Arabidopsis thaliana: one gene and its partner. The protein of the gene in region 1 interacts with the protein of each later gene in a pairwise test. Each region holds a gene or a part of one and is shown on either strand. Other genes may lie near its edges. The genes, in order: AT5G04840 and RIP1.

Region 1 (5,164 bases):
GGTCTAGTCTTTATTCACACAAATTGCTTGATTACTAAATGAGTGATGATGGCTTTTTGCATATTTTTCTTACTCAATAACTACCGAATATTACACACTCTGGACTTGGAACTTATTTTATATGTCTGCTGAGAGATTTTTATGATGGTGTAATGATGAACAGGCTGAAGATGAATGGGGATTACCAGCGGTACCACGTGCATCACTTCGGGGCTAAATCCCATTTACACACCTCTTTGTGTGCATAAATATTCATCTCCAGCGACTATGCTTTTAAAGTCTTGTTACTGTATGTAATAAGTTTTTTGCTTAGCAGTTTCATTAACCTTGAATCCTCAGATTTGGTCTGTATTATATTATTTTATAAGGAAATCTAATCGGGAGTCTACAGCATCGCATTCTAAATGATGTGTAAGATATGTTGCTGAGAAGTGAAGTTTTTGAGTTTCTTGAGAAGTTGAACATGAAACATGAAGCCCAAATTATTTGTTATAGTAATACTCAAATGCATACATTTTAGTGATATTAGATCCCAACGTTCATCAAATTAATAGCTTTTTAGAACACCAGAAATAGAAGAATACTCTCAGTCAAAGCCACCACAATTACTCAATGAGCTACAAAATAGGAACCCTTAAAATGTCTCCAATATCAGAGCATTTTAGCTAAAAAAGACTACATCCCAAGACAGTGGGATACTTTATACTCCTAAATCATATTTATACAAATCGACAAAGATTTGTTCATTTTCCGAACATAGAACTGTTAACTCTTGAATTCCTTAAGCTACTTATTCTTATGGAGGGTTTTGTCTTTAGTTGAGATTGAGTTTGGTCAGATCTAGCAAATTCCAGTCCAAGTGGGACGAAGCTGTCCTTGGAGCTACATTTGAACCAGCAGAATATGACCTCACCAGCCTGTTACTGTTGTTAGTGCTCCCTAAGTATCCCAATCCAGATTTCAATCTCTGAGCTTCCTTCTTCAGTAACTGATACTCACCTACAGAAAATATTTCGGAACAAGCATCAGTGGATCGATCACAAGCTGTAATTCAGACTCCTTGAATGTGTGGTTTATGTCATGTTTTTATTTACCTTCCCTTATGAGCTTGTCCTGCTTTAGTATCGCCATCTGCTGCTTCAACTGGCTATTCTCCAGGGACAGTGTTGCTCGTGTCTGAAGAAGTGAAGCCACTCTCACTGATAAATCTGCTTCCACCGTCTGCAAAACGAGATTGCTATTTGGTTACTACCAAAAACAATGTGCTAGGTTTCTGTATAATGTTTTACTGCTCTGCATCTAACTATGTAGTAACACCAACAACTAGATCATCTTACCACAGAGATCTAACATACAACATTGCATTTTGTACATATAACTGTCCACAGAAAAAATAACGATTGTGTTTTAAGAAAGCGCACAGCTTGAATGGAATCTCTACCTGCAACATGCCTACTGTTCTCTCAAGTTCAGCAATGTACTGGAGCTTACGAACCCTTGAACGCTGTCCCGGGTTCCTGGCAGAGTAAAGATAGAAAAATCAACATATGACACAACAAGATAATGTAAAAGTACCGAATTGGCATTCTAAGAGCACTCTTGTGGACACAGACACATATTTCTGCCAATTTAGTAGTCATAAGAATCCCCACCAACTACAAATCCAAGTGTAAAACAGAGATATGGAACTATTCTTTTCTTCCTTCTCACTGACAAACCAGAAACCGATGTATCTTGATCTAGAATAGACACAGAGGTACCACATAGGAGCTTATGGACTAGACTTGATGCAGCCGAATTAATATTAGCAACATTAGCCGATAAAGAATACTACTCTTAAGGGACCAAAGCTTATCAATTTCTACACAAATAAAGTAATGATGTTAAATAATAATGTCTTAAGAAGATTAATGTTCTCTCACCTTTTTGCATTTGGTATGCCCATTGAACCACACGCATTTTCAGCAACAGGTGAACGGTTGATCCCTTTCACCGTATCATCCAAGTTCTGAGGCGGTGTCTGAGAACCATAATCCGAAAAGGCAGAAGCAATAGGGTTGTTAGAGAAGCTAGAGTTGTTCTTTGCTCTTGGCGAGTTGGGACCATATACACAAGCAGACTCCAAGTCCCCACAAGCTTCAGAACTCAAACTTTCTTCATCCTCACTTTGATCAAAACCAGAAAAAGTAGCAGAAATGTCTCCCAAAAGCACAACTGAGTCGCTAGCTGAGCGGCGCAGAGGACCTCCTCTAGTGAGCAACCCATCAGTTTTGTCACAGAGCAACTCATCAAGCCAAGCAGGTTGATCTTCGAGCCTGGAATCTTGAGTAGAAGACTTGTATTGACCAATGTATGATTCAATGGGTGAGGAAGAAGAGTAGAATGTATCTGCAACTGGACTCAAAGAAAGTTTCTTTGGAATCGGGCAACGAGGTGGAAGCGGAGCAGGCCTTGACATGATTCGAATTTACCTAATAAATCAACAATCCAAAAAAGCTTTCTTAGCTAAAAGTAAACTTCACTTATCATCAACCTTAAGAAGCTATAGCTTCTACGCAATGAAAGCTTCCAGATATTCAATTCTACAGCTCTTAAAGATTGATTTTTATTCTCAGCTAGCAAACACAAACCTCAATCCCAGAAAGAAAGAAAAAAGTATTTTTTTAGTAAAACAAATTTGTGAAATTCCGACAACCATTCTTGTACTAACCCCACAAGACAAAAGAGTGAAAGAAAAACAAAAATCACAAGAAGAAGAACAACATTGAATCAATGGAACAGTTACCCTAAAACCCATTACAAGATTTTAAGAAACGGCAATGAAAAAACTGGAAATTTCAGCAGAGACATTAAAGAGAAGAGAACCCTGAAATCTACAGTGCTTTTGACTCGAATAATGAGATACATAAACATCAAACAGACCAAAGCATTCAACTTGTCAATCGTCAGTTGCTTGTTTACCTCCAGGGAAAAAGAAAACAAATTTTCGCCGGCGAAGATAGTAACGGAGGAGCAATGCGGAGTAAAAAGAGAGCAAAAACGCAGAGTGTAGGAGAAGAAGAAAATAAGCGATCGTCTCTTTCTCTTTCACTAGTTGCAACAAAAAAGAAAAGGAGAAGAATTTATTCTGTTGCTTGCTTTATCTCTCTCTCTTTCTCACAGCTGCGTATAAATGTATAACGCAGAATTGAATTGTGTATTTGAAAGCCCCAATTGGCTGGAGGAGGAGGCGTACGGACGGCTCTTTTGGGCCCTTTGAGTTTTTTTTTTTTTTATTATTTGGTCAAGCAAAGGGTTCACTGACCCATCTCCATCCGTACTTTTTTGTTATAAAATTTTTAAAAAAAATTGTTTATATTTGTGTTGTCACATTGATTAAGATATTTGATCTGATTGTGGCATTTACATTTATTAGTCTAGAACGTTCGGGAAGAATTTATTGTAAAGAAGTGAGTCTTTTAAGTGTCTTTTTAAAATGTGATTTGTGATGGTGGAGAAGAAGTGGTGGAATTTATATATTTGGGGTCATCAAAATGTTGAATAGTTAAAAAGTAATGATCTAACTAACTTCGCTTAACACATATTTGTTAGTAACGTTTTGCGTATTGATTACCAAAGTGGCGATGTATCTTTAAATAGTTGTTAACCAAGAGATTTTTAATTCAATCAAGGGCCTCGTTTTGGCCTTTTTTTTTTTTTGTTTCGGGTCAAAGATTTAAGTTTAACCAAATAGAGTTGACCAATAAAACAGCTGTTATCAGAGAACCAAATAATAATAAATAGAGAAAAACAGCTGTTCTGCTTCTCCAAACGTTTAGTGTTATAATATTTATTAGTACTTTGTGTCGTTTACGCAAAGTTGAGATTTTTTGTATTCTCATTTGTAGTATTAAATTATTATTATAGCATGAAATAATGAAAAAAACATTATTCTTTCTGTTCGTTATTATTCCAAATTTTAAGTTTTGTTACACCTATTAAAAATAGATTATAAATTTATTCCTTTTGTGATTAATAATTTTTTACAACTTTAAACCAATAATTTTGTAGTTATTTATTTTTGAAATCTACAATTCATCATTAATAACTACTTAAAAATACATAGAAGACTTCAAAATTATATCTTTTGCAACATTTTTTCCATTCAAGAATTTAGATTAATAAACAAAAGAGGGAGTATATATTAACAGAGTAATGGTACTAATGATTAGCATTGGAATGTTAAGACAAAAATACATGTCAAAGTCAAACAAAAATTTTAAGCTTCAAAATGAAGGTAACTAAAATGGTTCGGAAAAAGAATAGTCACCTACCGTATATTTTGTTTGAAGATCTGAAATCTAATTATTCCTCATCTTTGCTTTAAATTTTTGTGATACATAAATTAAATAGCACGAATCACATTTTCAACTTTGTAATATTTTTCACTCATACTAATAATTAAAAGGGACTAGGAAAAATAAAGGCACATTTTCTCCGTTGGAATAATCAACGGTTACGTATGGAGAAGATTGTGTCACGTGGAAGCTAATCCACCACGATCCAGTTTCATCTCTATTAACAAAGATCACTCCTTCCCTCGCTTCAATTTTAGTTTCTATTGTTGTTCATCTCTCAATCGTCTCTTTCGATATTTTCTCAGGAAAATCTTTACAACATCCGTGGAGAAGCAACACCAGAATCCGAATTCAGGTTCGTTTCCTTGTACGATCTGATTATTGTTGGTTTGTGGATGAGAGAGGCTCTTCATCTTCTTCTTCGATTTTCTGGTGATGTGAAAATGAAACAGCGATGGATCCAGCGCGGGAATGCGAAGGCAAAGGAGCTTGCGAATTGAAATCGAACAAGCGATTTGCTGATAAAATCATGCCTCATCTTCTCAACTTGTGAGCCTTCTTGTTTGATTTTTCTAAAAATTGAGGTTCTTCGTGAAATTTAGTACTGTGGCCTTATTGATTATCCACTTGGTTTGTTCTGTCCGATTTAGGTCCGGTTTAGATACTGCTTTATCTAGGACAAATAGGTTTAGATTCAATCTGGTTCAGTTTTTTGGAATATGTTTTGTTCATTTTGGTTTCTTTCGATTTGGTTTTGGTTATTTGCCTAACCGTAGATCATGGTGAATCCATCCGCAGTGATTGACGAAATTGGTGTCAATTGTGTG
Region 2 (5,031 bases), on another chromosome or scaffold:
ACGGATGAATAGCTTCCGCTGCGAGATATCAGAGTCGGCGGTTAATCGGACAGATTCAAGCACGTCGGGATGGCGTACGATAGCCTCTTGCAATAAGTCGAGCAGCTGATCAGTGGTGAATCGCTCGATAATCTTCCTCGCGTCTTGCGGCGACAATCGAGTTGGACCAATGGTTCCGCCACCGTTGGTATTGAGTCCGTTACCGTTCTCATCGAGCTTACGCTTCTTCATCATATCCATGGTTACAGATTTATCTCTGGAGTTATTCTTTCACCGGTAAATCCCTAATCCTTCTAGTCCAGCCGTAGAGAAAGCGAATCTGACACGAAAAAAAAGAGGGGAAAATATGTGACGGCGGAAAAACATATGAGGGAAGCGAGGGCTTTATACGGTTACGAGATTTTCCATTTTGGGCTGAAATTTAGAATGATGGGCCGGGATAAAGAACACAAAGCCCATCTTGTTACTTCACACCCGCTTCTCTCTCTCATCATCAAATTGTGTGTTCTGTCAAGTTTGTCGAAAGAAATATGATATTGATGACATTTGTCATTCTTCCTGTTATAATATGAGTATCCCATTCCCATGTAAACATGATTGGGGAATTAGAAATTAAGACTAGGAAGAAGCCAAAGAAAGACACAAAACAATAGCCTGTGGGAGACATGTTACTAAATCCCGTTTAATGCAGAACCAGGAGTGGACATAAGAGTAGCAAGCATCACAAGGAAGAACTTGAGATCGATTTAGGATATAAACTACTAAAAAGAAACGCAAGAGTGAAAAGTTCTAACCATGCCACAGTAACTTAGGCTATTCTCTCTCACATAATCCCAGACTGATAAACACTCGAGATAAAAGGAGTTTTAAAGTCTTGCTACTGCACTCTCTCTTCCTCAAATTATCTATACACAGCCCAGAATGCATGATTAAAAAGGAAACCCACGACTGCTTCAACTGCTTTAACCCTGGTAGGGGTTGCCACTGCCATCCCGGTTAGGTGGGTAGTTGTTCTGGTACTGTGGCTGCTGCATTCCACTACCCTGCTGCTGGTAGTTGTTGTTCTGTGGGGGTGCTCCTCCGTATTGAGGTGGTGGTACTGCTCCATATTGAGGTGGTGGTCCTCCTCCATAGTTTGGTGGTGGTGCTCCTCCCATGTTGTTTGCTGGTGGTGCTCCTCCATAGTTGGGAGGTGGTGTTCCTCCATAGTTCTGAGGTGGCCTCGGTCCTCCCATGTTGTTTTGCGGTGGTGCTCCATAAGGTGGTGGATGCCTTGGTCCTCCCATGTTGTTTGGTGGTGGTGGTCCATAGTTCTGCCCCATGTGAGGTGGAGGAGGTGCAGAGCCACCCATATGAGGCGGAGGAGGTGCAGAGCCACCGATGTGCGGAGGAGGAGGAGGGCCTCCCATGGGAGGACGTTGAGGAGGAGGGCCTCCTGCCATGTTCTCTCTTCTCCTCTCAAAGTTTCTGCTTCTATCATTGTTGCGAGGACGGTCATTGCGTCTGTTCCTTTCATTTGCTCTAGCATTGTTCCTTATCCACTCCTCGTGGTACTTAGGATCATAAGGAACAGCCTTCCCATCGATGAAAGGTTCCCCTGAAAGTCAATATATACAAAAACGCATCAAACTAACTCTCTAATAGGATCACCAGAAAGATTTAAACTCTCACCAAAGCAACATCACTGCGACTTCTACAACACCAGTCTCACAATAGATATCACTAAATCAAATCTAACAGATGCACCCACAATGTTAATTAACTATAAATAGAAGTCGCCCCATGTGTCAATCTAACACAAAAGCATGGAGCAAGTAACGAGTCCACAGAGCGAAGACTAGCAACAGGTAGTTTCCCTTGAAAATTTCAAACCCAGCAAAAGTATAATGGACGAGCAAAGCAACTACCCCAATTTCAAACCCAGGTTATGATACAGATAATACACTTAAGCCTACCTCCATAGTCTTTGTTCCTCACATCCAGGTAAGAGTCAGGAAGAACCCAGCGCACATTTGACAACTCTGGAGAGTTACAGAAGAAAGTTAGAAGGCAGATTATAACACAGAAATGAGGAAAACTAAAACCCAACAAAGGCAAGAGTTAACCTTTTAACTTGTGAGAAAGATCTTCTGACACAAGTGCCCCAAAAGCATAGTAGCACCTAGTTGAAACCGAGTAGATCTTCATCCTAGCTTCGTCTTCACTGAAATGTCCAAAACGAGATATATCATGTTACAGCTCCAAAAATGATCTAAGTAAACACACAGATCCGTCATACACAGTAGTGGATTTCTCACTTATTTAACCTAAAATCCCTAGAAGAACATACACAGAGAGAGAGAGAGAGAGAGAGAGTTTTGAATTGGGGATTTACCTGCCAACAATCTGAGCTAGGGTTTTGATGTAGCTATCAATGATTTCATCTCTAGTAGGCTCACCCTGAGGTGGCTCCACGACGACAAGCCAGTGCTCGAAATCGCAACCATCGAGCAGGATCGTCTCCTTAGGTGGCCTGTTCGACCAGTTGGGATTCGGGTCGTTCAGAGAAGACGATGTAGCCTGCGTCGAGAGACCTTTGACAGACACAAGGCCGCCACGGAAAACGGAGGAAAAAGCGGCGACCAGAGGACGGGACCGGCTGAGCAGAGAAGACGCCGGAGATTTGGCGAGAGGAGCAGATGAAGCAAAGGATCGCGTGAACAGAAACGAAAGAGATTTCGCCGGTCGGCAAAGAATGGATCGAGAAATGGTATGCGTCGCCATGGAAGCTCTAGATTGGGCTTCGCAGATAAAACCCTAGGAGAGAGTGTGAAAACAGATGAGCTAGAAATGAAATCAAGGGTTTTATGAGGGTTTAATAGTAGATTATGAGTCGAGGGCATTTTAGGTATTTCATAACTGAACTGGACAGCGAAATCTACGGTACTACCCCCTGATCTTATCAGATTCAACAAAATTGCCCCTATTTTACCTTAAGTTACAAATAAACACATTTTCGCCAAGAAATTAGTGACATTACTCTGTTTTCAAATGATAAAAAAGCTATTTTTATACAAGAAGAGAAGACTGAAGATTTTATTTTCACTAAATTGGTAATAATCATATTATTAAATGGTTTACAAATATGAAATATTCCAAAGCTAAACATAGGGGCAAATTCGTATTTTAGAGTTATTGTAAGGTCAATTTGGTGAAAATGTGTGACTAAAATATCTTTCTCCATAAAATAATTTTTTTCTCCAGCACACCCTCTAGCTCTTGCAGAGGTTTAAAGAAAATATCGGCAACATACATAGAAAAATCTCGTTTATTCATTTATAAAGGCATAAAGTTACACACCAATCACTAAGCCAAGCTCATATGTCATATATCATAAAGTAAGTAATTACTAATGGAGAGAGATAACTAAAAGGCAAAGCCTTCTTTTTATTCAAGCCACTCTCATACTTTCATTGTTTGAAATCACACAAGTGTTGCCTTTCCGAGCTGAAGAGCTTTCTCTCGCCCGTAAAACTTTTCGACAATGGCAAGTGAAAACTCCATTGCAGTCCCTGGAGCTCTGCTTGTTATGACATTTCCATCTACCACGACTCTGTGCTCAATGTGACTCTTGTCCGAAAGTTTGTCGCTCACCACTGGGTGAGTAGTAGCCTTCTTACCCTATACAAAACATGTCTCTTATATCTCAGTTTAATGACTTAAAAGATAGAACAAGAAACTACAATTCTAGTACTGTTTGATTTATGCACCTTGAGTAAACCATTAGGCTCGAAGACGTAAGCAGGCGATGCGCAGATTCCTCCATATGGTTTGTTTGCTTCTGCCTGTTTCCTTAACATATTAACTAGCTTCTCGCAGCTTGCGAATCTTTGAGCACCGTTAAGACCGCCCTGTAGTTCATCAAAGAAGTTGGATTATGTTTTTGGTTATTTGTCATCATAGAATATTAAAATTTAATTTAAGACTAAATAGTATATTCACATTTTGGAAGTTAGCAATACTCACAGGTAACACAATCAGATCAAACGACTTCTCTGCAACCTCATCAAGAAGAACTTCTGCTACTAGCTTAGCTTTGCGAGATCCTTCAACTTCCAAACTGTTACCAACTGCAGCAATCACTACATTTGCTTTTGCCCGCCTCAGGATATCTACAAGCGCTATAGCTTCAATTTCCTCTGACTCCTCTGCAATGGGTACGAGAATCTGAAAAGGGAAAACATTATCTCTCTGACTCATAAAAGACTATTGATCAAGAAAGACAAAAGCTTTACAACACAGCATGTTCCTAGGAATCTGTATAACGGATCAAACAAAGCCTGTCTTGGAAAAATGTTAAAAGGGCCAAGTGGAGAGGCAACTGAACATTTACCTGTGGTGTATCTTCAAATGACCAGTTTGTTTGGTTAAGCTCAGTAAAAGTAAACTCCTCACCAGGGTTAGGACGAAGCAGCTGATTTCAAAAGGATAACAAGTAAGTCTACGAGGAGGTGACATGAACACGTACCACAGCGGTTGATAAAAGAGGCAGAGACAAAACATACCAAGATACTGGAGACTTCATCAGCTTTTTCTTTCCCAAACAACTGCTCTATAAGCGTGATGGAGAATTCAATGGTGGTTCCTGGTCCACGACTGGTCACTATTCTTCCATCAATTTGCACTCTTGACTCAACAGCAGTTGCACAAGTAGCCGCAAGTTTCTCCATAAAAACAGGGTAACCCGTTGCCTGCAAGAAACCCCATGTAATAACAAGACATTACAAGGCCTGAAAAAAAGATAAATAAACGCCCTTGGAAATATACTGATCACTTCTGACTTACTTTCTTGCCTTCTAGTAGACCCCAAGTACCAAGAGCCAAGGCAGGAGCACAACATATAGCTGCGTTAAGTCGGCCATCAGAGTCTTGTTTCTTGACCATGTTCTCTAAAGATTTACAGTTTTTAAGAGTCTCGCCACCGGGAAGCCCTCCCTTTTCCCAATCATATCAAAAAGTATATCAGCAACACAATTATGAAATCTTTCAGAA

Evidence for each region.
Region 2: the proteins of AT5G04840 (region 1) and RIP1 interact in a two-hybrid assay, tested with the Arabidopsis thaliana proteins (one large-scale study listed by BioGRID).

What each region holds. Positions count from the first base shown.
Region 1 is NC_003076.8:1,403,299-1,408,462, reverse strand, and holds AT5G04840 (bZIP protein), read right to left. Parts: upstream 3,283-5,164; 5' UTR 2,962-3,282; intron 2,472-2,961; 5' UTR 2,459-2,471; coding exon 1,923-2,458; intron 1,518-1,922; coding exon 1,442-1,517; intron 1,222-1,441; coding exon 1,095-1,221; coding exon of another isoform or gene 1,087-1,094; exon of another isoform or gene 1,000-1,086; coding exon 815-999; 3' UTR 501-814; downstream 1-500. Other genes in the region: VPS60.2 (SNF7 family protein), read left to right, coding at 164-217; AT5G04830 (Nuclear transport factor 2 (NTF2) family protein), read left to right, coding at 4,792-4,886.
Region 2 is NC_003074.8:5,048,053-5,053,083, reverse strand, and holds RIP1 (cobalt ion binding protein), read right to left. Parts: upstream 2,890-5,031; 5' UTR 2,764-2,889; coding exon 2,375-2,763; intron 2,204-2,374; coding exon 2,106-2,203; intron 2,022-2,105; coding exon 1,956-2,021; intron 1,598-1,955; coding exon 963-1,597; 3' UTR 629-962; downstream 1-628. Other genes in the region: AT3G15010 (RNA-binding (RRM/RBD/RNP motifs) family protein), read right to left, coding at 1-240; DJ1A (Class I glutamine amidotransferase-like superfamily protein), read right to left, coding at 3,463-3,660, 3,750-3,890, 4,006-4,206, 4,373-4,453, 4,545-4,730, 4,825-4,974. UniProt on the Arabidopsis thaliana protein: Involved in organellar RNA editing. Required for the processing of numerous RNA editing sites in mitochondria and plastids. Binds to the plastid RARE1 factor, a pentatricopeptide repeat-containing protein involved in RNA editing.